2 linked regions of the Daphnia pulex genome follow. The protein of the gene in region 1 purifies or fractionates together with the protein of each later gene. This does not show direct contact. Links are inferred from orthologs where the notes say so. Each region holds a gene or a part of one and is shown in the gene's direction. Other genes may lie near its edges. The genes, in order: chromatin complexes subunit BAP18-like and nucleosome-remodeling factor subunit NURF301-like.

Region 1 (16,428 bases):
ACATCGGATGGTTCCGAGGCCTTTTATATTGGTTTCATCGGAGGTTCTCTGGCTGGATTATTTATTGGAGTAATTTTTTAAGCGTTAATGATTGATGCATAGACCTTAAAGACTCCAGCACTTGTAGAAAGATGTATTCATGGACAAAAGTCAACAGACAAGAGAGAAATAAATCGCATAAGGCCATTCGGAGCAACATTTTAACAGTTTCTAATTGTAATAATTCTAGTACGACACTATTCTAATTGACACTTAAAAGGCCTTGGGGAAACTAGCATGTATCAAATAAATCGAAAAGTTCGCCCGTCACCAATACAATGAAGTTATACATAGTTAATAACGTTTCCTGTAACCCCCTCAACTTCACCTTGTTAAAACAAAACGATAAATCCGAGCTACCAGATAACGTCAAATCATAAATGAAGGCACTGAAATTTAAGACATTTCTTCAAGGCATGTGTTACACACAATTTGGACCGTTTAAATTACTCGAGGTCCGTGAAAGCCAAGAGTGGTGGTGCAAAGTTAACTGTCTGCATCAGAAAAAAAAATTTAATAATAATGGAGAACGAGCGAGAAGCGCAAGAAAAATCCAGTTTTAAGGCTAGTAATCATGGCCATACAGGGGGACGGGTCACCAAGACATTTTCAAATGATATATCTCCTGCTTCGTATTCGGTTTGCGAGTGGCTTGTCAAAAACATTTGGACAGGGTATGCAGAAAGAATCATTTGACGAGCACATTTACAGGTAATTCAAAGGCATTGAAAAGGAACACACAATTTTGACCGACACACGAGGGAATTCCCAGGCATCTTATTGCTTCACACGTTTTATAGGCACGTCAGTTTCTCTCAAGACGACGATACTGGAACGGGCGCGCGACCGGACCGGGATCTCATCTTTTTTTTTTTACACCTAGAACCATCTTCCCTAGAACAAGAACCTACAGTCATAGTTGCATATATGTTTTAAAAAGTGATGGTTTCGGAATCAAACGAAACAAATATCGAAAATCTTGTTAGCTCCTCCTTCCGTTTCCCAACAATAACTCTTAATACGTAAATGATAAGCTAGTACGACAATGCATAATACGCATTGTGAGCTAATCTTCCTCTAAAACGTTTGCACTTTCAGAACCGAATTGTTTTTGATTAACTCTACCGCTAGTCGTTAGCTCTACATATTCAAAATAATTGCCAATTTCTGAATATTCGTTAAGATGAATCCCATACTAAAGGTTAAGGCCAAAATGTAAAAGTTAGTTGATCACGCCCAATGCCAAACCAATAGATGCGTAAACTTCAAGACGTGTTGAAGAAAACCATCGACGATATTGGCATTCCATAGAAGATATTTATAAATTTGGGATTCAACCAAGACGAGCTGTTTCAGAGCCAAGTAAGGACGTTGTCGACTTTGTTTGAATTCAAAAGAACGTCATTCAGGATGTCCGTCGATAACTCTTCTCCCAACTGTTCAAAAATAATTGTTGTTTTAAATCGAAATGACATTGTGAAATGTATGTTCTTACATCCAAAGTAGGTACGAGATCGTCAGTAGTGTCCATATGAGCAGGTAGATCGCCAGCCTCTAATCCTCCATTCATGTCGTTCATGTCGTTCATATCGACAGTGCCAACAGAAGCAGGACCTAAACAACGTAAACAATCCGTTACTAAAAATGTGAACTCAACGATGTGAAACAATGAATAATATAGGAAAAATTAAACTAAAATAAAAATTTAAAAATTTAAATTAAGACTAATTTTAAAAATCAAAATTACAATCAAGCGTAGTGTCCATTGTGTCATCCATAGAGGCGAGGAAATCCTCGGGTGTGTGAGGTAAGCTATAACTGCCACCCATACCCAAACCAGAGTCGGCCGACTCTTGACGAGCATGAAAGTCGGTAGCCAATGACGAAGGTGGAGCTGTCGAAGACTGAGGGATATTTGTGGCCGCTCCGTTTCCTGTTCCATTGACGCAAGTATGGGGAACGGCGGCGGTAGCAGCAGCCGACGCTGCACTAAGAAAAGGATCCACCGTGTTGGAGCTAAGCTCGTTGGCCGCTGCACTGTTGCTACTCGATTGCGTATGAAGAGGATTCCGTCTCATGGCGAACTCCGGTTGCTGTTGGGAACCGGTGCTGTTTTCTTGCTGACGGACGCGAGTTTCTCGTTCCATCTGCAATGAATTCATCAATGGAAAACAAAGATCACACAACACCTTCACATGAACTAAAATACCATGGCTATAATTTCCTGTTGTCTCTGTCTTAAACGATCCTGCTCCTGCTGAAGTCTTTGCAATCGCAATTGTTGCTGGGCAGCCTGGGCAGGCGTCAAAGTTTGCTGTGAAGTTCCTATTAAATAAAAATAAAAACATCAAATTGAATGTTTACCGTCAGCACTTCTGAGATTTGTTTTCATAAAATAAGCCTCACCTGAAGCAGCTGGCTGCTGAGTAATCTGTTGTTGTTGCTGTAAGGCGGCAGCGCTCTGTGTTCCAGCGGCGTGTACCATGGGTGGCTTCTGCATGTGAATAGCTGATGATGGAACAAACAGAAACGAGACATTAGCGTGGCGAGCAAGTGGGGAAAAACAAATAAATACAAAATAATAAAAGAAGTTGCTATTACGAAGGCGAGGATCAAACCACGAAGTCTTTCTCGTGTGATGATCAATGAAATAGAGTTCTCCTTCCGGAGTAACTGCTTGTTCCCATCCATCCGGTAGAGGACCCAAAGCTTGGGTTAAAGCTTGCTGAGATGCCGCCAAGACAGCCGCTGCATTACTTCCTGTTAATTGAATGAAAGTTACATAACCGGAAAGCCAGGAATTTGTATTGTTTCACTTACCGGCAACTGGCGCCGTAACGGCACTGAGTAAAGGTGGAGCTACCATGTTTGGTGGAGGAGCCGGTGACAACGGCTGAATCTGTTGCTGCAGTAATTTTTTCCGTGGATCCTCCCATGTTGTTGTTTGAGTCAGGTGACTGTAAAGAAGAAAAAGAAAAAACACATCAGCAAGATGAAAATCGGTAGAATGTCTGACACGTAAATAACAAATTATTTGACAATGATAAACGGCAACGCTAAACACACGCGACTAGACACAATAGTCTAGGACAAACCTGACTGAAATTGTTCGGTACCATGTTGGAAAGACCTTGGATTTGTTTCACGCTAATAGAATCAGATAAAAGAGGGAGGGAGGGAAGGGGAATAATGTAAGCAACAACACACTCGGTCACATGGCCTTGGGAAGTAAAGAAGAGTAAAACGGAGAATACGGAAAACGTACTAAGGTGGGCAGACCGTCCCCGATCCTAACGTCGTTCAAGCTTGTTTCCGCCTCTCATGGGCAAACGCACCTAAATTTGCACGGACAAGGTCGCTTGTCGAAACCGGTAGCATTGCACAAAATGACAACTAGTTCTAAATCCTGGCGCCCAGAAATGAACCAACACATTCATTTTAATGCGGATTCATATTTTTTTTTTACCTGGACGAGCTTCATTTGTACGATTAAAAAAGCTTAAATAAACAAAAGAAACTCGTATTCCAGTTAAAAATGTTGATATTTTTCGAAGAGAATACTTTTTTTCATGAGGGATTTGGAGTTTCTAAGGATGAATTGAGAAGCCGTGGGAATTCCATCCATAAAAGGTTGAGTCGAGGGGGAGAGAGAAACCTGCTCCGTGTGCAGATTCTCCTTCCCAAAAATGGCGAGTCCAACCAAAGGCGGATGATAGGCGGTTCGCGTTGGCTCGGATCGAATCAACGAGCTCATGAATTAAAGAACGAAGATGGGCTTCACAAAAGGCTAGCATGGAACCCAAAGGACAGAAAAGCAACCCTCACGGAGAAAAAGAAAAGAACAAAAAAATTGGTCAAACAAGTGGATAGATAACGTACATACGGAGGAGAAAGTAGAGGAGAAGATGGAAAGGTCAGCCCATAGCCACAGGTAAGAATGGATCCAGGAAGAAGAAAATAGTTGGATAAAAGCTCGGAGACAGAGAAAACGGCTCCTCTCTTTCGCTGAGGGTCTCAATAGAGATGGCGGGAGGAGGGGGGACTCGTACCCAAGGTCACTATAAAAGAACAAGGTATTCAACAATAAGCAACCTAACCCACCAGCAGGAAACGTAGAGATCCCCCGTGCTTCGCTATGCATTCTCTCTCTCCTAAACACCACAGGCATTTGCCCCCGTCTCTTTCTTTACAGGTAAAAAGAAGAAGAAAAAAAAAATGGTAAAAGGTAGGAGGGCATTCCACAGACCTTTTTTCTTTTTACTTAAGGCCAGTATACATTCCATCGTGGTAAATTTGAGTTATTCAGTTGAGAAACTATGAGATCTCAACGGTTGTTCGACGAACCCTTAAAAATACGCGATTTGGCCAACCCCAACACACGTATCAGATGGCAAGAGAAAATATTCTAGTAGTCGGGCATGACTGTATGTAGTTATAATTTAATAAATAAGCAATCAGTTTTCGAGATGTGAGACGAATGAGGCGCCGTAAGTTGAGAAGGAGGGGTTGAAACGCAACAACCTCTAAAGAAAGCGTTTCTCGCTGTCGACAAGAGACTAAATCTTAAAATGGTTACCAGAGATGAAGTGGACCTAGCAACCATTCATTCAGAGCTAAACAAAACTTTTATCTTTCTCTACAAAAAAATATACATGCTACACACGAAAAAAGAGGTTTTTCTGACAGTAAAAACAAAATAGGATTCTGCAACTCACAATTTCATCGTATTTTCTCCCAAGAAAAAAGGTGTGGTTGCAGAACCCAATTTTCTTATGTCAAAAACTCCTAAGTGTGAAAGCAGCTTTACCCTACTGAGGGATGGTTGCTCCATAAAGGCACGGCCCGGTTCTATTTTTGCAGTTGAGATAGCTGCTCCAAACTGCGTCTCGACAGCGGCAAACTCCGACCCCTCCTCACGCTCTCAACTGTCCCGTTCAACCTGCGCATTTTGCTCAAATCGGCCACCCCTCAAGACTTTTTATGTAGTTCCTATTGCTTCTCCTCGCACTCTGAATCCGCCACCGTTTAATAATAGAACGCCATGACTTTCGGGTCCACATATCGCAAGCAGAATTAGCTAACCTACCCCGGCGCCTGTCCTTCACTTACGCCATCACTCAATGAACGCTGGCTGAGTAGTGCTTTTGCAAGGTCGCTTTCATCGAGGCTATATGCTATTATTCAATCGTGATGTACGACACAGTTTCAATTCGTGGGGACAGACGCAAAATATTTGCAACTTTACTATTTCACTAAACTTTGAGCTTGTAACTGAGGACTAGATCTAACTTAAGAAGTAAATAAATGAAAAGAAAGATTACTTTAAAAAGTAGACTTGTCCTTGAGGTGTCTTGGCTTGTTCCCATCCTTCAGGAAGTGGGAAGTGATCGAGAGTTAAGTCACAACTCTGTTGCTTTAAGTGCTGATGTACTGGTCGTTGTTGACCAGCTGCCAAAGTCTGTTGGAGTGAGGCTGGAGAGCTGTGTGCTCTCGAATGGTGAATATTGGCTGATGGTGAAGGGTTCAAAGCAAAATGCCCAGAATCTGTGCTGTTTTCTCTGCTGTGTGAATTAGATGCCACAGAAGGAGACTTTGATCCAGTTGGAGGTGGTTTGAAGAAAGAATCTGGCAGATTTCGCAACCGAAATGGCAGCTGCAATGGTCTGTGGGCATCAGGCTTCAGTACGCTGTCAAACAAGGCTTGTAATTCGGAATCAGAATCGCCACGAATGTGTACGATTTGATTCCGTTCTTTGTGCTCGACCACTTCGGGATTTTTTGACATTTTAATGATACCAGAACTTTCAAGCAGTCGAGCAGATAGGATAGGTAAGGGAATTACAATATGCTAAACAAAGAAAGACAACAACTAAGATCATAAAAAATGAAAAAGGTTAACTCAATAATCAGCCGACACACCCTTCCACACAAAAGACAGTCTGGCGAGTAACTGATGCACCTCATCTATGCAACTAGGCAAAAGCCGGAAGGTGGCAGGCTGGCATATCAATTTTTTCAATAACAAACTCGGACGCCATCTTCCGACTATAATTCATTTTACCTGATACTTGTTTTTTCTTTTTTTTTACAATAATTTTACATGATCTAGTGTTTCAAATGCTTTTTTTTTATACAAAAAGCAAATTTCCACAATTGAATGCAATACGAATGAAAATTATTATCGAATTACTAGTAAATAGAGAAGCAATGAACCTTTTCTTCATTAAATAATTTAGCTGGAAGTTATCGCAGCAAACTGTTTTTAACGTCGGTCATAGCAATAATCTTACACAATTTATGGTTTTCACGAATGACTATGTTTTCTTGTTAATTTGCAAACAAGACGGATAAGGTTTGTATGTGTATTATGCTTTTGAATTTCTCAAATGGTCAAGGATTGAAAACATGCATAGGGATGGAAAAACACGAACCCCGATGTGAAATTGTAGAAGAACATGTAAGAGAAATACAATCAACCTGTCCAATCAATCTCTCCTTTTTTCCACAAAACTAAAAGCGAGAGAAGAGATAAACGAACTTGCATCTACCATCACGCACCATCAGAATCGTACGACAACTTCTTTTCAGATTTTTCAAAGCAAACATTTAAACCGAGAACTTCCAGTAAAATGAGTACAGCGATCAATGATACCATTCAACAACTGGCACCTTGCGGATGGACTCTACGTCAACTCCAAAACGGCGCGTAGGATAGTTTTTTATATCCCGCAAAAAGGAAGAAAAATAAAATAAAATAAAATAGAAAAATGTCGCATTTGTTTTGCTATCGCTTAATTCATTCTTAATAGCTTAATTCATTCCGCAGTGTGCACGCCAGCTTTTGATCCCTTATCTTTAAAAGCTTACTTTCCCGATCAATTTAATCAATGAAATGAGCTTTGAGGTACTTCATCATGCCGAATGTACGAAATCTCTTAACGCCTATAAATTGTAAAAAAAATAAAACTCGTTAGAAATCACAGATTTTGAACTAGAACGGAAATGGCTTTACCAAAAACTTTCTGTAATTGTTCGTCACAAACCGCAAACTGTTTGTTCTTGGGATCCTAGACAAAATTTTGAATAAAACATATCAGTTATTGGTTCAATGAATTATTTGACATGAAACTTACATATAGGTTTCTTTCCTTGATTATAGACCACATTTTTTTTACAACTTCCGGACGAGGCATGGACTCGGTTCCCATAATATCTGACAACTCAGGACTAAGTTTAACAGCTTTTACTCCTCCCTTTGGTGTTCTTGCTTTAGCAGTCGTAGAACCTTCTCCTTTCTTGGCTGGGGTTCCTCTTTTCTTTTTGGAGGCTTTTTTCCAGTCTTCATCGGAGTCATCGGGATCCGAACTATCAGCACGCTTCTTCTTACCGCCGACAGCCCCCCTTCCAGCACTACGACCTCTTTTTTTCCCAGGAGACTTCTTTCCTGGACTGTACGACTCATCACTACCTCCATCCTATATTTTACAAGAAATATTAAAATTTTGCGTCAATTCATATTTGGTTTTACTCTCTAACTTACGCTACTTTCGGAGTTTTCTTCGTCAAACTCTTCGTATTCACTGCCAGACTCTTGTTGACGTTTCTTAGGCGTTACTTTTTTAGGAGCAGTATCACTTTCTTCGCTGTCCTCGTCCTTGATTAAAAATGGAGAAAAAAAATGTAAGAGATTAACTTCTTTCCAAATTCTTCTAATAATACCACTGGGACGGGTTTAGATTGAGGCTTTCTTCCACGGGGTGTCGGTGCTTTTTTGGGGGGTGGTGCTGGGGCAACGTCCGATCCCGATTCTTCCTCAGATTCTTCAGATTCCTATATCAAATTGAAAGTTTATGTTTTGATTTCTACGTAATCGAATAAATCAGGCAATTAAATAATAATCGTACCGCTGACTTCCCCTCCGAATCACTAGATTTGGTGATTGGGGCTTTGGATTTCTTTTCTTCAGCAATTGATCGAGCAGGTCGCGCTTTTGTTTTTGCTTCCTAGAATATCACATAACAAAACTGGAAATTAGTTGCAGTTATTTAAAAAGAAAAATTTACATTCTTTTTTCAGGTTATCAGTTTCTAAAGAACATTTCTTCATCACTTACAGGGCTTTCCGATGGTGCTTTCCGGGCAGGCTGGCGCCTTTCTTGTTGTCTTGCTGGTCTTTTTTTAGGAGAAACTTCTTCTTTATCAGGTATGTACTCATCTTCATCTTCATCATCTTCCTCTTCTTCTTCATCATCATCTCCTTCACTTTCTGAGTTTTCATCCTCTTCATCCACAGCTTTTGAAAAACATGAAAATAAGAAAAATGAAAATATGTGCACAAATTAATTTCTTACATTGGTCCAGTTTTGCAGGTTTCTTCTTCTTTGCTGCAGGCTCTTTATTAGATTCCTCTTTGGCATCTTCTCGTTTACTTTTAGGGGATGTGTCATCTTCTATATGGGGTTTCTTTTCTACTGCCTCCATGACCATTTCATCAATTTCCTTTTTCCTGTGAAATCATAAAATTCATTTGTGGTAAAAATAATGAATATTTTACTCATCTACAAATATGCCTAATAAGACATACTAGTTTTAACATGAATATGTTTGAGTAATAAAATAAGGAAAAAGCAAGCATGCCTAATGTCTCCATACCTGTCACTGAGGTCGAATTTTAGTTTTTCCTCCAACTGTTGCCGAACTTTTTTAGAAGACAGTGTGTCTAAATCAGCCCCTTCAAGGATGCCTATAAAACACATGACATGATAAAACAAGAATACAAAACATTCAATAAATAGCGATGATGCTGATGCTAAGTCACCAGCGTGCCGGCTTTCAAAGATTTGAGGTCTTTTGATAAATAATATGAAAAAAAGGATAGTTACCATCAATTTCTTTTCTTAAGTCTTCTTTACTTATATCAGCCATGCTCATTAGAAAGCCTTAAGAGAAAACTAAACAAACTATGTAAAATTCACAGAGAGTCAAAGTCTCAACAAGAACTTTTGTTCGTACAGTATAGGTACCCTAACATCCAAGCGTTACAACAATTGACCGGAGCGCTCTCATGCGGGGTTTTCTGAAACAGTTTTTTTTTTCTTTATGAAATTGAAGTCCGAAATTTCAAATCTTTTTCAAATAAACATGTAAAGTTTTATTTAAAATATTTTCGCGTTGTTTAGTTAATATAAAACAAGACAACATATGACGTATGACAACCGCCATGAGAACAATTCTTTTTATTTAATTTAAAATTTTTACAAGTTGGTCCACAGATAAAGTTAGACTAGAAACTTGTCCTCAACGCCTCTGGACGTAAGTATCAGTACTAAATATTCGAAATGACAAATCCAAAAAGCGCACTTCTTATCAATGAGTGTTTTGTCTCGTTTTCTCTGTTCTCAGCTTGTTCACAGTTTCACACAAATGATCAATCATGGATTCATAAATGATTTTATCACAATATTTAATGCGTGCTAAAATTACAGTCAAATTTTTAAAATATTACGATGGCTTGTGTGTCGAATTAAACTAAAAATATTAGGCTATGCGTCAAAAATAAATTATCGATATATGTGTTGATCGATATACATATCATTTAGCTTAAGTGCTACGGGGTACTCTTCCCGCTTTATTTTTGTCAGACTTTCAGTTTTGTGCATCCTTCGAATTGTGCCTCGCGCCTAGCGTCGCCAGTTTCCCTCCGGGACTTTGGGGTTTAATTTAAATGAGGGAGTGTGCATAATAAATTTTGGGGGGTTAGGGGTAAGGTTATATATATAGGTTAAGTATTTTTTCGCGCAATGTAGGGTGATTGCTCGGCGCTTATTATAGACATCATTTTGGGGTGTAACTGTAATCCAGGAGCACGCCTAACTTTTTTTTTTGTTCGGTTACCTTTTGACCAGTTTAACAACTTGTATCATTTGGATCCCTATCATGTTGGAATGGAAGCCATTTAATGCAACTTTAAAGCCGGAATATCTAGGCAACAAATTTTGTTTTTTAATGAAGAGAGGGCAGAATTTTTTTCAACTCGCTTCAACTCACTTATAGATTAGCGAAGTGTGATTTATGGATCAACTTAGTTGAGTAGCCTAGTGAATTTTTCCACGAATAACCAATTCCATTCGTCATCATTTTTCTACAATCATTTCTCATGACCAAAATGTTAAGCTGTATGTACCGCTTTTCTATTCGAAACTCGGTGTCGTTGGATAGCTGTCACAAGCAGGGGTATGGAGAGAAATCGAACAAAGTTTTTATATATCAAACCGCGATTGGTTGTATTAAATTCCAACTCTTAACACGTAGTTATACAATGCCAGGAATGAGGGAGCAACGCAAATTAAGTAAAGCCATGATTTTAAGAAAATAAGACTAGTTTTATCATATGAATGCCCTCATTTCAGTTCGCAAAAACGCTGAAATAAGAACAATTGAGAGAAACTGAGTTTGTGTTTTATAACAGTAATTGACACGTTTAATCGCCTTTCTCCAGCGAAAAGCATTTTCATCATTCTCCAATGGCGGCATTTCTTCTTCGGCTTCTTCGGCTTCCTCACCACCAGCAGGGACATCATCTTCATCGATACACAAACCCAATTTGATCATGCGGTAGATGCGAGATCAGAAGCATGGACGGCTAGCTCTTCCAGGGAAAAACCAGATGACAGCAGAGGTTTCAAACAGCAACATGAAGAAATCCTTGACGGCTTTATCGTTTTTGTCAGCCTCTGCTTTGACGCGCAGGGCTTCGACGATGGGATGGTCGGAGTTGATTTCCAAGTGCTTCTTGGCGGCCATGTAATCCATGGTGAAGGTATCCCTCAAAGCCTGAGCCTTCATGATACGCTCCATGTTGGCTGTCCAGCCGTACTGGGAGGTGACGAACTGACGATAATCTGGGAGACTCGACCAACGGTTGGAAATAACGACCATCCCGACTTTCTTGTCCGTTTCTTGTGGCAAAAATAAAAGGATTTCAATATGGAACATAGAAAAGTGTCATGAAACTGAAATACCCGATGATGGAGAACATGTAGACTAGGATGAGAGCCAAAACGGCAGTGAGAACGATGGACCTGCCGTTTCGCGTCACTGAGCGGATTACGTTGAGCAGCGTCTCCTCGCGGTAGACGACGTCAAACAAAAGGACGGAGAAGAAGAACGGATGGGTGCTGAGTCCGAGGAAGCAAAAGATGAGGTAAACGACGTGGTAGACAATCTCCGTGTCCGTGCAGATTTGTCTGACGCTCCGCTGAAATGTCCCGGCGTTGCCCATGATGCTCAGAAAATGGACGCCCTTCAACACTACCGTGTCGGTGCCAAGGAGCATCACTGTGGGTTAAGGGCCGGCTGAGCAAATAAGCCGGAGGATGACTGTCATGACGAGAGTCCTAATACCCGACGGTTTGGTTAACGTGATGGCCACAGCGGCGGATAGGAGGATGACGGCCCAGATGAGACCTGAATTAATAAAGGGAAAAGATCGTTGAAAAGATGGAAATGGGAGTCACTGTTTAAAGGTGTGCAGACCTGACAGGTGAGTGCGAGGATCAGGAGCCGGTCCGTCAGTGTCAAACGGGTAAAAGAAGGCGACAATCAGGTTGATAATGACGGCCAAATTGAAGAGGATTTGACTCCAGATGGACATGTGCGAGCTGTCCCAAAAGAGGAACGGCTGTCTGCGCAATTTCTTCTACCATTTCATCTCGTCAAACATGTCGTCGACTCCTTCGAAAAAGGCGGCCACTTTCGATCCCTGGTCGTCGCGCTCCGCCGTGTGGAAGACGCACACTTTCGTGTCGTTGATCAAATACTCGCACATTTCCGCTCCGGAATGGGGAAGACAATCTGCTCCATCGTCCGGTCGTGACGGACAATTTATTTCGATTTGCGCCGTGTGATTGGCGTAGTACTGCAGGGCCGCATCACCGCTGACTCCGTCCACTGGCGGCGGTTTCATCAGGGCGGCCAATTCTTTGTTGTGCTGCGCCAACTGGTGTCACAAAATGTAAATGTTGTGGCCAACTGGCGACTTCTTTCGGATTGGCCGCCTCTTCTCCACCGACCAACTTTTGGTGATAGGCTTTGCAGGCGACGTCCACCAATTGGCGAGGATTCATGTTGTACAGGATCCTTTCCACGTTCTCGCTGTCGCCACGACTCTCCATGACGGCCAGCAACAACTTGGAGGCGTTGTTTTTCAACTCCAAAACAAGATCCATTCTCCGTTGTCCTAAATAATTGATCAAATAATTATTAGAATCAAATTAATGAAAGGAAATTGTTACCTAATGGATTGATGTCGGTAAGAAGAAGAGCCGTGATGATGTCCAGTCCATTCGACTCGTGAGTGGCGATGCAGTTTTGGTTTTCGTGACAAGGTCCTTGGCAATATTCCGTCAATGTTTCCAGGGTTTGGTTGATGAGGGCGACGTTGTGCTCATTAATGTAGAGGCCGAGCAGACCCAGTTCGCCCGTCGTCGATCCGCAAATGCAGTCGAGGAACATGAGTGTCGTCTGACACTAAATTGTAACTTTTTTTGTTGGACTGGGCCCGCAAAAAGTTCTGCAGGTCTCGATTGTGATTCTCACACAGCAACTGCAGGAAGCGGAAGACGGGCAGCATTACCAGAACCTTAGCCGACAACTTGGACTCCATGTCCGAATCAGTTGCCGTAGTTAACTATAAGGGCGAATTCAATTTATTTTTTACAAGAATTTTAATAAAATCACGAATTCAAGTTTTGTTGTACCGATTTGGGTTGTTGTTGTTGTCTCACCAAGTTCTCCAGCGTCAAGTTGACACTACTCAACGTCGTTGTAGTGGTAGTCGAATCATCCAACCTGGAGCTGTTCCACGAGTCACTGTAAGGATCCATGCGCTCCCCTACAGTGACGTTACCGTTTGAAGCTCTTGTGGACATCATGCGTTGATGTTTCATCTTCATGTCGTACGGGAAATGATCCTTCATTTCATGGGAATGGTCCTTGAGCTTGTTGTTACCCGCCGAGGCCATTTCGATCGTGTTGACCGACATGGTGGACTTGATTTCCGCTTGCGACTCTCTGACTTTGTCGTGGAACACCTTGAAGAAGATGGCGCTCGTCTCGGCCGACTGCAATTTCGTGTAGAGACTCCGCTGGATGACGGGGTTGCCGCCTTCCAGCAGAGCGATGCCCAACTGGACCGCTTCCATGAAAACGTTGGGCAACAACGACGACTTCATGACCAATTCGGCCACCAAATCAGAGATGCCTTCTCGGTCCAGGTACACTTGCACCTCGGGCAAACACATTTCACCTCGCGACAGGAGACGTCCTCCAGGTCCGTGGGTTGTCAGCGATGACGATTGTCCCACACAAACTCCAACACCAGTACCACCAGATAATGTTGAATGAATTCCAGCACCAGAGATTCCGCTTCCGCCATAGAGCTCGGTCTTTTTAGAACTATGAGAGGCTGGTTTGGCAAAGTAGCGAACTAAAAGATTCTTTCTCAATGCGTCTCCCTGGTAATAATTGATTCATTAAGGTAAATTTATTGCCTCAAATTTTAATAGAATGATTACCTTTTCGCCATTGTGAACATCGAAATTCATCATCTGACGTAAGGTGTTGAGAACTTGGATGCAAAGTTTTTCCTCCTTGTCCTCCAGCAATCGTTCGGTGTGTTTAATCAATCTTCAATAAAAATAAATTCCAAGTAAGATCAATGGTTAACATAAATACAAGTCAAATTTACCTGCGAATGAATCCGCCATTGTCACACTTTTTCTGTGCTTCCGTGCCAGGCTGGAAAAGGTATTCCGGTCGGTAAAGGACATCGACGATAACGGAAGACTTGGCTTGAACCAAAGAATGCAGTTGAGCCTCTAACAAGACGACAATGTCTTACAGGCCATCAATAATTGTCCGATCAAAGCGGACGCTCAACTGTGACTGCGAAGATTCCCGACTGAAGACGCTACGATCGAAATATTTTGCTGGCCTTGCTGGCCCCCAAGTGTAGGGCTGGTTTGTTGAAGAGCGAAGTCCAAGATGTCCTTTATGATTTTGCAGAGACCCTCGAATTTGGCCTTGTCGCTCTCGCGTTTCTTGGTTTCTCCATCATCTTCGGGGAGTTCCAGACCCTCCTTGGTGACGGAGACGAGCTGCTTGCCATCGTATTCCTTGAGCTGCTGGACGACGTACTCATCAATGGGCTCAGTCATGAAGATGACCTCCAATCCGCGCTTCTTGCCACGCTCGACGAATGAGGAGTTGCTGACTTGTTCTCTGTTGTCACCAGTGATGTAGTAGATGTGTTTCTGGTTCTCCTTCATGCGGGAAACGTATTCCTTGAAGGAAACCTGGTTTTCTCCAGAGGCGGAAGTGTGGAAACGGATGAGGTCAGCGATCTTCTTGCGTAGGTAGAATCTTCATGGACTCCCAACTTCAGGTTCTTGCTGAATTGTTCGTAAAACTTTCTTGTCGTTCTCATGCTTCTTTTCCTCCTCCTCAGCCTCATCGTCGCTCACTTTCTTGTCGCGCTACTTCTCAACCAATAGCTTGATTGGGTAGCAAATGAACTGTGAGTTCTTCTTGACAACCTCCTTGACTTTCTTCTCCTCCAGGTAATCCATCGGATAATCCTGTCAATAATGAAAAAAAAAATACAGGCATGAGCATATTGGAAATTATGCCAATGAAGACAAAGAACATACCTTCAAGTGGAGGATAATCTTGGTTCCTCTACCCATGGGTTCTCTGTGATCAGGCTTGATGGTGAAAGAACCACCAGCTGACGATTCCCAAACATACTGCTCATCATCATTGTGCTTGGAATGAACTGTCACCTTGTCGGCAACCAGGTAAGCAGAGTAGGAACCCACACTAAACTGACCAATCATGGAGATGTCAGCTCCGGCAGAGAGGGCTTCCATGAAAGCTTTAGTTCCAGACTTGGCAATAGTACCCAAGTTGTTAACCAAATCAGCCTTGATCATGCCGATACCACTAAAGAGAAACAGAACAGTCAAATTCGTGTTCAAATAGGAGGAACTAAATTTCTCAACTTACGTATCCATGAGAGTGAGTCAGCATTCTTGTTGGGGACAATCTTGATTTTAAGGTCCTTACCGCTGTCCAACTTGCTTGGGTCAGTCAGGGATTCATAACGGATCTTGACTAGGGCATTTGAGGAGTTGGAGATCGACTATAGAAGGTGTTGATAATCAAGCTCATAAGCTGAGCAATCTTGGCCTGGGATGTGAAAGTCTCAGCTTCGTCTTCCATTTGAACTTCTCCAGGCATCTAAAAAGGAAAAGGAAAATATTTCAGTAAGAAATGTTTGTCAATTGTGGTAGATCACACTCAAAAATAGAAATTCTACATATATCTATGGACTTGAGGCATATCAAAAAATGTGTAAATAACCAATTTGTTTGTCTAAACCAGTACAGTAGTAAAACTTACTTTGCTTTAAAACGTAAACAAACAAACCGGACGCTTTTCTGTTCACGTTTGGTGGGGATCTACATGTATACAAGGCCGCCGGGCAGTCGTAAAAATTGCCACCAAATTCGCTTCTTGTTAGGCCTGCAAACTATAGCTTTTGGGTTGACACACATCAAGCCGGGAAAGTGAGCCCGTTCGACTTTGAATCGCTGTGTAAAAAATACAGCTATTAGTATATCTTCATGTGATCCATTTTGAAGACCTTTCTTTGTTTAATCTCTTTCATACAAAAATTTTCGTGATTTGTAAGACATTTACGTAAATTTTGTGTTAATGTTTAGTGGCGTTTTGAATTTTGCAGTTTGAATTGCAGCGGTGGCGTTTCGAAACTGAGCCCCGTTTGACTTAGAATCGCTGTTTTAAAAAATAAATCTATTATATCTTCGTAAAATGTGATCCATTTTAAAGAGATTTCTTTGTTTAATCAAATGCCTACAAAAATTTGCGTGATTGTTGTCACAATTACGTAAATTTAAGTGTCTAATTACTGCAATTGAATTTTGCAGTTTGAATTGCAGCGGTGGCGTGTCAAAACTGAGCCTCCTTCGACTGTGACTAGAATCCCTACGGGAAATTATGTTTTTTTATACCAAATAATTGACTTTGTGGTGAATTTTCTGGGTTAGTTGTTTGTAAAAGTGCACAAGAATGAACTCTGCTAATAAGGTTGCCGATATATTTGGAGCTGCAGGATTAGGTAAAATACACATGGTGTATGTAGGTAATTGTTGAATGAGTGATTTCAGCCATTATTTTTCTTAGCTTTCAGTACGTTGGGGAAATTGACCATGCAGCTACATTCCTCAGAAAATGCCAATGCTGGGTAAATAATTTAAAGTAATTTACTTTTGTAACACTGTTGTATTTTTAATTTTTTCTTATACAGGTC
Region 2 (15,171 bases), on another chromosome or scaffold:
TTTCTTTATTTTTAAAGCGAATTAGATGGAATGCCTAGATTGTGAAAAAATGCGAGTTTTTTCACATTATTTTCAACAAAATCTGAATTTGCTTTTTTTTCTAAGTCCTTGCCAAAGAAAACAAATTCAGATTTTGTTTTAAAAAATGTGAAAAAACTCGCATTTTTTACACAATCTAGGCATTCCATCTAATTCGCTTTAAAAATATAGAAAAAACAAGGAAAAATTATGAAAAATTGATTATGACTTGCATAGATTTGAACCTAACACCTCTAATGTGGGAATCCTCCGCTATACCCACTAGACTGTCCTTCAATTGCATTTAATCGACTCTGACCATGCCTGGATGCAAGCCAGACACACAGGCATGGCGACTTAAGCCAAAAAATCCCAAAGGGTGGAAAGAATCTGCGGAAATGTGGAACAAAAACCGATACTTACGACCCTCTGGCTATGTACTATGGCAACAGGGAAGGGGCAGGGAACCTAAAATTGGTCCCACACAGAAGCGTACGATGATGGGCCGTGACTATAGTAGGCCATGATTTTTATAATTTTTTTTAGATAACCAAAGTCGTCTGCTATTTGAACAGCGACGCCTGGCCGTGATTAGACAAACTACTAACAAACTCTTACTAAGCGTGGTGATACTAAATTAGCATAACAAAATACAAGAAAAAATGTTACATCTAATAAGAATTTTTGAGAGTGCAACATCATTTTTATGGAAAGTTTGAATATTCTCTAAAGATCATCGATAAGCAATCGATTTCCAAAGTTATCGTCGAATCATTCTCACTTTCTCAGTTCTAATTAATTCTTAAAAAACTCTTCTTTAACCTCTTGAAACATACAAAACAGACAAAAAATTAGTTAAAATCGACATTGATTGACAAAATTCACTTTTGAAAAACAAAAATTTGAATTTTGGTTGCTATGAAAGACTTTTAGTGATTGGTTTCAGTTTTCGACCAATCCCGCTAGAGTTAGTTATGGCTTAAGGCCCCCTTTCATTCCCTCCCGCCTATTTCTCTCTCGTAGCATCTCAGAGCAAAAAACTCTGAAATTTTTTTGTGGCGTCACCGGGGCCTAAAACACTTTCAAGTCAACGTATTTCAACCGTTCAATTGTTCAACGTTTTGTTTTAGAGTGTTTGGCACAATATTAACTGTCGTTGTGAGTGTGAAAACTATTTTCGTGAATATTCAGCAGGCAATATCTGAAAAGTCACGTGATCAAGATGGCCGTTAAGCCTTCCGCGTACAACACTACTACTAGGTGGTAGTGGACACCGTGGGAAGTTTTGGCGCCCTGTCAACCTTGTTTATAAACAAGCATACTACTGCCGGCCTACTCCAGTGTTTCAGCTGGTCATTAATCCTTTGTTAAAAGTGTATCCCACAGTCGATAATGTCGTCGAGAGGCGGTAGGAGACGCGGGAGGCCGCCTAAATCATCTTATACAACACCACACTTCCTAAATTCCCGATCGAACGTTATCGAGAAGCCTAAATGGTTTTTGTCTCGTGATGGAGTGGCTAATGACAATGGTCCAACTGGGTCTAGAGCTAGTTCACCGGGAGGCAGTGTGGGGAGTTTCACACAACAATACAGTGCCAAAAAACATATATCAGTAACTCCATTCAAGAAACGTGGAAGGAAAGCGGGTACAAGAGGCAACAGAGGTGGCAAAGCATATGTGCCTAGGCCTTCGTTGGTCATTACCAGGGGTAATGATTATCATTATGGCTCAGACTTTGACTCTGGTAGTGATTCTGATGGGCCTCCGAGCCAAGGAGAAGATGCAGAGTTGGATGTTGAGAGTGACGTGGACATACCAATTAGCGAGCCAGAGAGTGATGAACTGGATGATAATGCCTCAGATATCTCCATTTCTAATCAAAGTTCCTCAATGCGAAAAATTGTTGAATCCAGTATAAAGTCTATACCCACTCCACTCCCTATTTGGCTCCAGTCCGATCAAGATTTACCAGTGTTGACTCTACCCAAATCTTCTGAAGACCTTCTCTTGCCTACACACCAAGTGCTACCTGCTTGCGCGATTTACGAAGTCCTACGCAAGTTTAGCAGTGAGGTTGGTTTGGTTTTTATTATGAATAATTTTCCCTGGCTAATCAATCTCTCTGCGTAGGTGAGGCTCTCTCCTTTTCGACTCGAGGATTTCATGGCCGCTCTTCAATCGGAAGAAATGACAACTCTTTTGGCGGAAGTCCATGTTCAACTCTTAAAGTCCATGCTTCGAGAGGAAGACGTACAACAAACTTGGTTTGGACCACTGGACCAGAAAGACAGCACAAATTCTGTGTTAAACTTTGCCGACACGCTGACGTGGCCAGAAGTCATGCGGATATACATGCAGAGTGACCCGACCTTTGCACCTGCACTCTCTTTACTTGAATCCTGCGAATATCCTTTTACTACCTGCGACGTCCGTCTGAACCTCCTCAAGTTTCTTACTGACCATTTTCTCTGCAATACGGCTGTCCGACAAGAGTTCCTTAGCGAGGGTAACATTTTTTAAATCATTTTTATGGTTTTAAACATACTAATTCATCTTTCATCTATAGGAAACATCAAATATAATGACCATTGTCGAGTTTGCCACAAAGTTGGAGATTTGCTCTGCTGTGAGACATGTCCAGCCGTCTATCACCTCCACTGTCTCGACCCACCACTGGAGCACGTTCCAAACGAGGATTGGCAGTGTCCTATATGCACGGCCCAACTATGCAAAGGAGTAACTGATTGTATAAGTGATGTTGAACGATCCGGTTTTCTCTGCCGACAAGTAATTATCCTGAAACCCAATGCTGGCGGATGAATTCCTTTTTAATTCATGTATTCTCTTTTAGGAATCTTTGGGCTACGACCGACACGGACGCAAATACTGGTTTATTGCCAGACGGATCTTTGTCGAAGAAACTGGCAGCCGGGAAGAAATTGACGGAGATGAAGAAACTATTGCCGTGGAGGACCGTAAAACTTGGTACTACTCCAGTCCCCATCAGTTTGAACAGTTGCTTGCAGCTTTGGACAAGACAGATTTTGAAAAGGCTCTTTGTCAAGAACTATACAATCTAAGGCCGGAAATATTGAGGCAGATGGCTCTCACGATACAGCTGACAAACGAGAATAAAGGTGAATAATATTTTAATCTACCTAATTTTATTCATAAAAGACGCTAATCATTTGTTATACATTTTAGGCAACAACAAATCATATCTCGAACTTGACGAAGAAGTTGCAAGGGAGGCCTCTCAGACGGTCGTCAAAGTTGAAAAAGAAGAAGATGACGAGGCTGATGAGAACCTCTCTGTCGATGCAATCAAAACAGAGAAGGAAAAAATAGAAACTGAGGAGGTTGTGGAAGAATGCGGTGTGGAAGTGGATGACGATTTCATGCAACAATTGCATGTGGAATCTGAACCTAAAGTAGAGCCTGAAGAAACGCCTACTACCGGTACACCAACAGCCAACGGAACTTACTCTACGCGCTCCAAAACCGGCACCATTGTGGCACGCACCTATGTCGACATGAAACGGCGAAATTTAACAACCAACGGTTCTGGCGGAGTCACTATTAAGGAGGAAAGAAGTGGCACCCCTACCAAATCAAAATCTCAATCTCCTTTACCCTCCGACGTCATCTTTAAATTGGGCATGGAAGGACGGCACAAGACGTACGTCAACCAGTACACGAGCAATCCCCTCGCGCTCAACAAAAACCAGGCAGCAGAGGAGAGAGACCGCAAGCGTTACTTGTCGCACAAGTTCTCCATTACGGGTTGCGGCGAGTTTAAGTGGTTGGGCAGTACATTTGGCAACCGCACTATCATGCAGCAAACTGTTCGTTCCACCTTGCTCCAACTGCACTCTCAATTGCCTGCTATTTTCATGCATCCTAACTGGGCTGGGAGTATGCGAAAGTCTTGGATCCAAGCTGTCAATCAAAGCGTCTCGCCAACAGACCTCGGTCGTGTCCTCTCAATCCTGGTTGCGTGCATCCGCCCAGTTGTTTTCTCTTCCGTCTGGCACGAGTCACTTGGCCACATTCGACTTCAACGACAGACGGCCCTTGAACGTGAAGAGCGGAAGAAGGTGGACAAGAAGGAGAAGAAGGATAAAGAACTGGAAGAAGAGATGCATCGACTACACACCGTCCATTACACCAAAGGCCTCAAGCACCAGGTAATAGAAACTATTTTTATTTCTATTTGAATCCATATCTAATTGGTTTCACATTGTTTTCGACAGATCTGGAAGCACAAAGGTGAAGAGTTTCGTCTTCACGGTCAATGGGGTTGGCTGTGGTTGTCCGCAACTCGCCTTTTACGACGTCTTGATGCCAGGAAATGCGGATTAAGAGCTGGACCCTGGCGAATCATCACTTGTACTCAAGGTAATTTTGATGTTGCTTCGATTCTTTTGATGAATTTTAATGAATTGTATCATTAATAGAAGAAGGCTCGGAATCTCGCTACATTCAGTGTGATCCGGCATCTGGCGTCGAAATTTATGAAATCCCATCTTCTGATCCAGCGATGGAAGTTGTTGATGTTTGCGCTGCTATGAACGATACCAACCGTCGTGTTTATCCTAAAATCGCCAAGAAAGCCAAGTTAGATTCGTTGCTCGATTGGCGCCTCAAATTGAAGACGGCCGAAGAGAAAAATCTTCTCAAAACCGAAAAGGCCCCGCTGCCACTAAAAAAAGAGGAAGTCAACGTCACGAATCGCAAATTGACCATGGCAGAAATGGAAGCACGACTGGAACAACTACGAAAGCACCGGCTCACTTTCGCACGCTGCTATTCTTACAAGTGTGGTGGTGATAGTTGCTACTCTCCCACTTGCCGGGCCATCAAACCTCTAGAAGCTGCAATCCTGCAAGAGAAAGAAGAAGAAGCGAAGCAAAAAGCTGCACTAGTTAAAAGACGGATTTACTCGAACGAATCGACGCAGGGTCCTCTACCACTAAAGCGTGCTGATGACGAAATTCGATCTAAAAAGAAAAAGGCGCCTGTGAAATACCCGATGATGTCCAAATATATGACAAAGAGCAACAAACGGACCATCTTCGTCCTGCCCGATCACGAATTGAAGCATCTAGCCCGACGTCACGGTCAAGGATACGTTCAAGGCTTCCACCACGGCCCAAAGAATAACTCTCCGGCTTGGATCTACCCATCGGCCAGGCCGTTGTTCAAGAATGTCTGGTTTTTCCGCACAAACGGCCTCCAGTCTTTGAGCACGTTCGCTTTGCAAGTTCGAATCCTCTGGGCGTGTCTCCGTTGGGAAGAAATGGTGACCAAAGCTGGCAACATGGGCATGGACGGTAAAAACCAAACGACCACCGACACGGAGATTACCACCACCGATATCTTGAAGCATCGTCACATCGGGCGGTTTCTTGAACGCACACAGTACTTTCAACGGCGTGTGGTTATTCCACTCGATGTCCCCAAAACGGTCAGAGAAGTCACTCCATCTCGTTCCGGATTGCGTAAGCGCAAGATGGTGGAAGCGCCCAAATTGTCGCAACCCATTGTCACCGAGGAATGGGTGGATGAAGATCGCTTGGAACTTTGGGTCATTAAGCAGTACCACGAGCGTATCGAAAAAGCCGCTGCGATGGCAGCTGCAGCTAGTACGACCACCTCTACACCTCACCTTACTCGACTCAAGAGCACACCACAGACTATGGGACCTGGAGGTAAACCTATGACTATGGAGGAACTCAAAGCTCAGGCCGAACAGCAGTTGCGCGCCCAACGTACTGCCCATCAACTGAAGAGCACCACTCCTGGAACGCCAACTGGTGTTGTCCGTCTAACTCTTCCCGCCGGAAACAAAGTTATGTTGCCTGGAAACAAGTTGCTGTCTACGCCCTCTGGGGCCACTGGAAGTCCTATGGGCCGGCGCATTCTCATCACCAAAGATGGTAAAACATCTCAAGTTGTTAAGACGACGGTGGCTTCACCTTCAGGATCTGCCCAGCCTGTGCTAATTGCTCCTAGTCCTGGCGTCGCGGCTGCTACACCTACCGTTAATAAATTGCAAATCTCTCGCGGTCCCGACGGCAAGATTGAAATTCGTGGCTTGAAACCAGGCCAGCAACTTCTGAAACTAAGCGATGGCCGCTTTACGATCGTTTCACCTGCTCAACCTATGATAACCGCCCAACCAGCGCCAGCTCAAGCACAGACCCAAGTCCAACCTGCTGCAGCCAGCGACGGAACAGGAACCAAAACTGTTGTTGTTCAAAAAGCTGTAACCATCGCTGGTCAGAAAACAACGAGTCAAATTGTTCTGCCGGCTGGTACCAACACTGCAATGCTGGCTCAGCACCTAGCGTCTGGAAAACTTCAGCTAAGTTCAGTCAACGGTCAACAGGTTATTATCCGACCAGCCGCAACTCCCGCTTCCGCTGGTTCAGCATCCGTGGTCAAAACGGGCGATACACCAACCGTAGTCGTGGCCGGCCAACAGCAGCCAGCTAAACCCATGATGCAAGTGATACAGACGGCTCAAGGTCAGAAGATAATTGTTCAGAATCTGCAAGGTGGTTCCCTTACTCCCCAACAACTAGCTGCCATTCAAGAACAGCTCAAGGGACAGATGATGGCTCGTACCAATCAGCCAGGAGGCAACAACAAACCCATCACATTTGCTGTTCGGACATCAGTGGCTGGCGCAACCGTTGCTACAGTTTCTACAACGGCTGCTGTTACCACTACCGTCGCTCCGACTTCTACGTAAGAATAATAATAATTTCATTTGACTAAATATCAGTTTTTAACATTTTTTCTTGTTATTCATTTATAGCGAAACGTCTACGACGCCCGCTGCCGTTGTTTCGACACCCGCTGTAGCTGCTGCTGTCGCCACCCCCACAACGCCGGCAACCACGACTGGCGCTGCGACTGTCACGGCAAATCAAAACAAAGTGGATGAACCGTATACTGTTACTCCCGACTATGTCGTACAAGCGCTCCGCAATTCATTGAAGGGAGGAAATCTTCATCCGGACCTTGAGCAGAAAGTGTTGACGCGCTTGCGTGAGCAGGAGAAAGCGAAAAGGGATGACGCCGAGGTGGAGACTCCTACCTATTTTGCCGCCTCCAATAGGAAACGGACGACGTCCGGTGCGTCTTGGATTGATGACGTCGATACCTCAACTGCGATGACCCCCGCAACTGGAACAGATAGTAAAACGATCAGACCACCGGCTCGCAAGATTGCTCGGGTAATTGAGGCCCCCAGCACGCCAGTCTCCTCCAAGATTGTCAGCGGGGCGACACCGGCTAACGATGCAGCTGCTGATTTGCGCGAGCAAAAGAACAAGGAACGTGCAATGAAGGCCGCTCAACGAGCCAAGGAGAAACGCCACCAGTCGACCTGTGCCCGTCTGCAGGGCCTGTTGAATAGAAGTTCCGAGTCGCTAAAGAAGGAAATTCTGCGCAAACGTGCCTCGTTGGAAAAAGAATTGCGATCTGCCATCACGAAGGAGATCTCAGCGCTACAGTTGCCTTCGCCAGTTCGACAAGCTCCTGTCGCAGTCTCGGAAAATCAAGCGGTCGTCGTTAAGAAAAAGGAGCCAAAGTTGCAAGAATTGCCCGTTGTTCAACCCAAAGCCACACCTCGACGGAATCAGAGGAAACGCAAGTTATCATCACCGTTGAGTCCTCAAAAGACTTTGAATGAGCCCGAACCTGGCACTTCGCAAGATGAAGAGGACTATGATGCATCACCCGCGTCAATGCCACCGACATCCAAGAGGAAGTCCAAACGAACTTTGTCGGAAAGTGGATGCAGCGCTGGCGACAAGATAGAACTTTACTGTATCTGTCGCAAACCGTACGACAATTCCAAGTTCTACGTCGGTTGTGACTTGTGTACGAATTGGTTTCACGGAGACTGTGTCGGCATCACGGAGGCCATGTCGCAAACGATGACGGAATTTGTGTGTAATGGTTGTAAAACGGGAAAAACGGTGGCGCCTCGTGAACTGTTCTGCCTTTGCCGACAGCCGTACGATGACTCGCAGTTCTACATCGGCTGCGATCGTTGTGGAGATTGGTTGCATGGTCGCTGCGTCGGCGTTCTGCAAACGGAATCGGAGTCGATCGACGAGTACAAGTGCCCCAACTGTGAGCCGCAGGGAGCCTTCAACTACGCCAACACGAAGACCCTTGGCACTCGCGATTACGAGGAACTACGCAAGCTTCTACGGCAGTTGCAGACCCACAAGAGCTCCTGGCCGTTCCGTGAGCCAGTCGATGTCAAGGATGTCCCCGACTACTATCAAGTCATTAAGGATCCCATGGACTTGCAGATGGTTGAGACCAAGATTATAGAGAGACGCTACCAACGACTGGTGGAGTTTATCGGCGACATCACCAAGATCTTTGAAAACTGTCGCTATTACAATCCCAAAGGGTCCAACTTCTACCGTTGCGCCACATCCCTCGAATCGTTTTTTGTGCCCCGACTCAAATTGTTGCGCTCGTCCATGTCCAACTGAAGTTGCGTCATCGTCACCCATATCTCTTTTCAAATCGCCTCGTGTGTGTTTGTGTGTTACGTGTGAAACTATCTCGGAACTCTTTTTTTTTGGCTTGCTTGTTCCGCTTTTCTTACCTTGCACCCTAAATTTCTTTTGTGTCTTCAAAATTTCAAGACTCTTGCAACGTACATTTCCCCCCCCCCCCTCACTAGACTGACATGAAAAACAAAGTGTGGAAAGCGGTATTTATGCCCATATAAATTGCTGTTACATCTGCCGCAATACACAAAATCTTTTTGTATTGATCCGAGTACTGTACATTATTTATAAAACAAATTCAATTGCAACATTCATGTTCACTCTACTGCTGAAGACCAAGCAACAGAAGCAATTCCAATGAATGAAATTGCTATTGTAACAATTGTCACTAGTGGTGAATGAGACAGCGAACCAATTGGGACTAAAACTTGTTGAATTTGAACATGTTCAGGTAATGACTGCCACACACATTTATGCACAGCTGTCAAATCTATTGAAGCACAGTCACAAGAGAAATAGGTAGAAGGTGAGGATAGAGATGCTGCTGTATAATCATTTATGCTGCTAGGGAGATGATAACGCAGATGAAACTGGATTGATTGGGAGAAGCTGCAACTGCTCCCACATTGAAGGTGGGGCAAGCTGTGTAATGTTAAAGGTTCTGCATGATGTGCCATTTGTTCAATGTTGACATGGCTGGAGAAGCGAACTGTCTTGTTCATTACCGAAGCTTGAAGTTGATATGGGTCTACATAGATTCCAGAAGGAATCCTCCATTTTATAAGTACACTACAGCCTAGAAGAGAGGAAGGAAGAAACGAGGAGGACATTCGCATTTCCCTAAAAATAAAGTATACAATTCTGTTATTCTGTTAACGCTCTGTGGTGTAACTGTTGAACATCTTACCGATGAAAACCGTCTCCAGTCACCTGAAATTCTGAGTACGCACTGTTGAAATCTTCTACTGTAAATTCTCCATGAGCCAATTGAGTATTATTTAAATTAAATAGAATAGCCAAAAAACAAGATGTTATTGTTCGATTCATGTTTAGTTGTTTACAAACTGTCATTCCTGTTTTGACATCGTCTGCTAACGCCAGAGTTGTGGGACAGGGAGAAAATCCGTCCCGTTTTGTCTCAAAATTCAAACGGTTTCATTTTTAAATTCAGAATTGGAGCTTAGGCATTTAATATTTGCTACCACTCACACAATGCTCTACTTTCAAATTGCAGCAAAGTGTAACCTATTGTTAATTATCTTTAATATTGCAAGTTATTAGGCTACCATTTAGGAGCCGTAGGGCTACCTTCAGGGTTATCTTATCGGAATCTGCGTCTCTAATACAAATAACTCCAGTGCAAGTTTTATCTTTGTACTTGAGACTCAGATTTATTTAATTGTTTTGTTTTTGGTTTTGTACCAACGTCCGACAGCAGAGAAAATAATTTTATTGCTTCGTCACTGTAATATATTCGTCAGCACATGACGCAATAAGCTGTCCTCTAACTCAAATAGCACTCGACTCTCCAGGTTTACAACTTTTTTTCATAAAAGTAAGTATGATTTGCATCATACGTTCAGTCCTGCACAGCAACTAGTCCAAAATGGACGCATCGGGATTTCTCTCATCGCCCGCTACCTGGGTGTTAGCGATCTCCTCTTCTCTATACATTATTTACAGGTAGAAAAAAAGAAGAAGACTCTTTAAAATCTCTTTCTTATTGGTAAATCTTTTTTAATTAAATAGATATGCCACGTCCACATTTAACTACTTTTCCGACCAAGGAATCCCTGGTCCCAAACCGATTCCCATCTTCGGTAATATGTGGGGCGTTTGGAAAGCGGTGAGATAAATCAATCTAGGTTCTCAACATTTTAAAAATTAAATAATTGTTTTAATTTAGAACCTTCCTGCGTACGACTTGGCATTAGTGAAAAAATACGGAAAGGTTTTTGGTTATTTCGATGGCCCGATTCCAAACCTTTGGATCACAGATGCCGATGTGATAAAGGCGATGTACGTCAAAGACTTCGACCATTTTGTCGATCGCAGAGTAAGGAAAAATGCGTTTTACACAATTAGCCATGTAGTTAATTATGAATTGTTTCTTTTCAGTCTTTCGAGATAAAAACGAAAGTCATGCGCAAATGGTTGAGTCTAATGAGAGGTCAAGAGTGGAAGGACATTCGCTCGTCCGTTACACCTGCCTTTACCACCGGAAAAATCAAGCGAGTAATTCAATATTTAAAGGGGAAAAAAACAGGGGAAGAAATTAATCAACGGCTGTCGCTTTTTTTTTTATTATTATAGATGTCTGTTTTGATCAAAGATTGCGTTGCCAATTTGTGCGATCGTGTCACGACTTTCACCGAGAAAGATGGAAAAATTGACGCCAAGCTGTAATAACATCACCTATCGCTTAACCTTTTATTATACCTGTTTCAAACTACGTTGATTGATTTGACAGGACGTTTAGTGCTTTCACCATGGACGTAATTGCAAGATGTGCTTTCGGTTTAAAAATCGACACTCTTGGCATGAAAGACGATCCTTTCATTACAAATGCTCAGTTCGTCTTCAATCCACCAACTAACAAGACACCACTTATTCTTCTACCATGTAAGTCTTAACAGCAGTATCCCTTAATAGTAGATCATTACTAGTAGATAATTAATCCGCTAATAATAGATAATTAACTGTTACATTTTCTCCCATAGTTATGTACCCAGACTTGTTTTCCAAGTTTGGATATTTCACCGAGCGTTTAATTGTCACCAAAGAAATGAAATTCTTTTTCAAATTATTAGAAAATGTACTGAAGGATCGCTTGGAGTCGAATGAGGTAAATTATTAAGGCAACCAATCAGGCTTGTTTTTGACTGACGAAAAATTATTGCGACGAATAGAAATTTAACGACTTTATTGAAGTGGCTGACGAAGCGATTTCAGAATTCACGAAAGTAGTCGATGGCAAAACGGTGCCCATGTGGACTCGTGAGATTATAGACGAGATCATAATGGGACAGGTAAATACTTTAAGTTATTTATGTAAGAAATTTTCCCATTACAAATTGCGAATGATATTTAGTCGACACTCTTCATGCTTGCTGGATTCGACACAACAGCCACAACTTTGACTAGTACCTGCTTCCAGCTAGCCAGAAATCCGGATGTTCAAGAGAAACTATACGAAAGCATCGCTGCGAAAATGGAAAACTATGTAAGTCTACTACAGCCTCCAAAAATTTTATCTTTTTATTAATTTGGCTACTCGTAAAAAGGATGAAGTTTCACACGAAATGGTCCAAGACGTTCCCTATTTGGAAATGGTTATTCAAGAAGTGTTGCGCTATTATCCGCCCCTTATCCGGTAATTACAATATTGCAGCCGCTTTGATAGGACAATTCTGATTCCAACGTTGGCTTTAAATTAGTATTGAGCGACAATGTACGAAGGATTACTCCTATGACAACGGCCGCATAAAAATTAAAAAAGGTCAAGTCATTACCGTTCCCACTTATGCTCTGCATCATTCAGAGGAATACTACCCCGATCCAGAAAAATTCGATCCTGAACGGTACCGAAAACATCTTAAAGATTACTTGGATTTATAAGCTAACTTGCTATGTATTTTTTTCCAGGTGGACTCCGGAAAACAAAGCTAAGCGTAATCCTTACTCTTACATGGCATTCGGCACTGGTCCGAGAAACTGCGTCGGAATGCGTTTCGCCATGGAAGAATTGAAAATGGCCCTTTGTTCTTTGGTTCAGAAATTCCGCTTTTTCCCAGTCGAAGAGACACCGGTACAGTTCATTTCCTTATCGCATTAATCAGTCAATCATTTTTCAATCTTTTCGTTATCTTTAAATCAACAGGAGGGGCTCCAGTTTGACGATGGACTTACACAAGTTCTACAGCCGATCCATGCGATTGTGGGCATTGAATTCCGTCAATCAAATCAGAATTAGTTAGAATTAGATTTAGTCTTGTTGTTTCAGAGATGAAAAAAGAAACAATATACATGCGATTATCTTATTGCGAACACTTTTCGGACTTGAGTCTACATCTTAATAGCCTATCAATTTATCTTTGCCTTGTTCTATAACTTACAATCTATATATTGTCTAACTATATATCCTGTCTGGAAATTTGATACGATGGTAATGTGGCAGCAATAGTTAGAAATGCGGAATGAAAACTTTCGTTGACCATGAGACGCAACGAGTAGCAAAATTAATCTACGTTCTAGCTCTACCTTTGAGGGGCTTTAATTTTTTACATTCTGAATCTACGTCTATAGTAGAAATAACCTTGGAAATAACTAGCACAAGTGCTCAAGTTTTATCTTTGTACTAAACTGTAAAATATTTGAATGTTTGTTTGTTTGATAGCAGCGATCGACATAGAAATAATCTTGTCACTGTCACATGGTTACTACGTAATATTCGTCAGCGCATGACAGACTTCAGCGACTCGGTCTTCCCACTGAACGTACTCTAGACTCCACTCCCGGTTTTACAACTTTTTTTTTCAATAAAGGTTTTATTAAGTATCATTTGCATATCACTCGTTCAGTCCCGCATAGCAACAAGGCAAACATGGACGCATCGGGAATTCTCTCATCGCCCGTTACCTGGGTGGTAGTGATCTCCTATTTTCTATACTATCTTTACAGGTAAAAAAAGAAAGAAGAGGATACTCTTTATAAATCTTTTTCTTATTGTTAATTTGTATTTAAACAGACATACCACGTCCACTTTTAATTACTTTTCCGACCAAGGAATCCCTGGCCCCAAACCGATTCCCATCTTCGGTAATATGTGGGGCGTTTGGAAAGCGGTAAGATAAATCAAACTACGGACGTGCTCAAATATTTTTTAAAATCAAATAATTATTGCTATATAGATCCTTCCTTATCACGACTTGGCATTAGCGAAAAAATACGGAAAAGTTTTCGGTTATTTCGATGGCCCGATACCAAACCTTTGGGTCGCAGATGTCGACCTGATAAAAGCCATGTACGTCAAAGATTTCGACCACTTTGTCGATCGCAGAGTAAAAGAAAAAATGAATTTGACAGCATTGGCTATTTGGTTATTATTAGGAATTTTTTATTTTCAGTCTCCCGATATAAAATCGAAAGTCATGCGCAAGTGGTTGGTTCTACTGAAGGGGCAAGAGTGGAAGGACGTTCGCTCGTCCGTTACCCCAGCCTTTACTACGGGAAAAATCAAGCGGGTAATTTCATTTTGGTAGGGAAAATCACCAGGGAAACACCAACTCATCAGAGACTGTCGCTTTGTTTTTAATTAGATGTCCGTCTTGATCAAAGATTGTGTTGCCAGTTTGTGCGATCGTGTTACGACTGTCATCGAGAAAGATGGAAAACTTAACGCCAAGATGTAAAACCATCACCTATAGTTTTATTTTAGATCTGTTTTTTTTTTTAAACTCATTTGCTTTATTTGGTAGGGTGTTTGGTGCCTTCACCATGGACGTGATTGCAAGATGTGCTTTCGGTTTAAAAATTGACACTCTCGGGGAGAAAAACGATCCTTTCACTAAAAATGCTCACAACATTTTCAGTCCAGCAGCTAATAAGACACCGGTTATTCTCCTTCCATGTAAGTCATAACAGGAACCTTCCTTAATAGTGGATGATTGATGTAAAATTGATATAATTCTGAAGTATTTGAATTTATTGTTACATCCTTTCCTTACAGATATGTACCCCGGCATGTTTTCTTTGTTTGGATTGCTAACCGAGCGTTTAGTTATTGTCACCAAAGAAATGAAATTCTTTTTCAAATTATTAGAAAACGTACTGAAGGATCGCTTGGAGTCCAAACAGGTAAATTATTTAAGGCAACCAAACAGGCTTGTTTTTTACATTGACGAAAAATTATTGCGACGAATAGAAATTCAACGACTTTATTGAATTGGCTGACGAAGCAATTTCAGAATACACGAAAGAAGTCGATGGAAAAACGGTGCCCATGTGGACTCGCGAGGCTATACATGAGATCATAATGGGACAGGTATAAATATTTGAAAAAATTTTTGAAAAAAATTTCTCATTACAACAATATGATTAATATTTAGTCGACATTCTTCATGCTGGCGGCATTTGACACAACGGCCACAACTTTGACTAGTATCTGTTTCCAACTTGCCATAAATCCGGATGTTCAAGAAAAACTGTACGAAAGCATCGCTGCGAAAATGCAAGATTATGTAATTAGATTTTAAAACCCTGAAACTACAAGCTTTTAATTCAATTGAGTTCTTTCGTGAAAAGGATGAAGTTTCCTATGAAATGGTCCAAGACGTTCCCTATCTGGAAATGGTTATTCAAGAAGTATTGCGCTTTTATCCACCCGTTGTCCGGTAATAAAAATTTTGCAGCCGCTTTGATAGAACAATTCTGAATCCAACTTTGGCTTTTTTAATTAGTCTTGAGCGAGTGTGTACGAAAGATTACTCCTATGACAACGGCCGCATCAAAATAAAAAAAGGACAAGTTATTACCATTCCCACTTATGTTCTCCATCATTCGGAAGAATACTATCCCGATCCAGAAAAATTCGATCCTGAACGGTACC

Evidence for each region.
Region 2: the proteins of chromatin complexes subunit BAP18-like (region 1) and nucleosome-remodeling factor subunit NURF301-like purify together in Homo sapiens (affinity purification with mass spectrometry; 5 studies listed by BioGRID and IntAct, with this or other methods). This does not show direct contact. The link is inferred for Daphnia pulex from reciprocal best matches to the Homo sapiens genes BACC1 and BPTF.

What each region holds. Positions count from the first base shown.
Region 1 is NC_060025.1:6,891,872-6,908,299, forward strand, and holds the start of chromatin complexes subunit BAP18-like, read left to right. Parts: upstream 1-9,602; 5' UTR 9,603-9,704; intron 9,705-10,294; exon of another isoform or gene 10,295-10,996; intron 10,997-11,059; exon of another isoform or gene 11,060-11,504; intron 11,505-11,573; exon of another isoform or gene 11,574-12,276; intron 12,277-12,331; exon of another isoform or gene 12,332-12,486; coding exon of another isoform or gene 12,487-12,726; intron 12,727-12,796; coding exon of another isoform or gene 12,797-13,552; intron 13,553-13,612; coding exon of another isoform or gene 13,613-13,645; exon of another isoform or gene 13,646-13,724; intron 13,725-13,781; coding exon of another isoform or gene 13,782-13,915; exon of another isoform or gene 13,916-13,977; coding exon of another isoform or gene 13,978-14,459; exon of another isoform or gene 14,460-14,576; coding exon of another isoform or gene 14,577-14,674; intron 14,675-14,746; coding exon of another isoform or gene 14,747-15,038; intron 15,039-15,101; coding exon of another isoform or gene 15,102-15,109; exon of another isoform or gene 15,110-15,335; intron 15,336-15,497; exon of another isoform or gene 15,498-15,591; intron 15,592-16,112; 5' UTR 16,113-16,187; coding exon 16,188-16,236; intron 16,237-16,301; coding exon 16,302-16,362; intron 16,363-16,425; coding exon 16,426-16,428. Other genes in the region: FUN14 domain-containing protein 1A-like, read left to right, coding at 1-81; transcriptional coactivator YAP1-A-like, read right to left, coding at 1,392-1,475, 1,535-1,653, 1,787-2,186, 2,249-2,364, 2,446-2,799, 2,860-2,996, 5,361-5,824; nucleolar protein dao-5-like, read right to left, coding at 6,920-6,981, 7,052-7,106, 7,173-7,514, 7,580-7,693, 7,759-7,869, 7,944-8,042, 8,153-8,331, 8,390-8,544 and 2 more; inositol 1,4,5-trisphosphate receptor-like, read right to left, coding at 12,487-12,726, 12,797-13,552, 13,613-13,645; heat shock protein 83-like, read right to left, coding at 13,782-13,915, 13,978-14,459, 14,577-14,674, 14,747-15,038, 15,102-15,109. UniProt on the Homo sapiens protein: Component of chromatin complexes such as the MLL1/MLL and NURF complexes.
Region 2 is NC_060023.1:9,235,450-9,250,620, forward strand, and holds nucleosome-remodeling factor subunit NURF301-like, read left to right. Parts: upstream 1-981; 5' UTR 982-1,410; coding exon 1,411-2,094; intron 2,095-2,151; coding exon 2,152-2,527; intron 2,528-2,587; coding exon 2,588-2,808; intron 2,809-2,872; coding exon 2,873-3,158; intron 3,159-3,225; coding exon 3,226-4,208; intron 4,209-4,274; coding exon 4,275-4,419; intron 4,420-4,478; coding exon 4,479-6,774; intron 6,775-6,844; coding exon 6,845-8,543; 3' UTR 8,544-8,826; downstream 8,827-15,171. Other genes in the region: phosphatidylinositol-glycan biosynthesis class X protein-like, read right to left, coding at 8,882-9,404, 9,472-9,635; cytochrome P450 3A14-like, read left to right, coding at 10,171-10,247, 10,314-10,410, 10,471-10,620, 10,683-10,799, 10,878-10,966, 11,035-11,186, 11,285-11,409, 11,474-11,593 and 5 more; cytochrome P450 3A14-like, read left to right, coding at 13,168-13,244, 13,312-13,408, 13,475-13,624, 13,691-13,807, 13,883-13,971, 14,042-14,193, 14,293-14,420, 14,488-14,607 and 3 more. UniProt on the Homo sapiens protein: Regulatory subunit of the ATP-dependent NURF-1 and NURF-5 ISWI chromatin remodeling complexes, which form ordered nucleosome arrays on chromatin and facilitate access to DNA during DNA-templated processes such as DNA replication, transcription, and repair.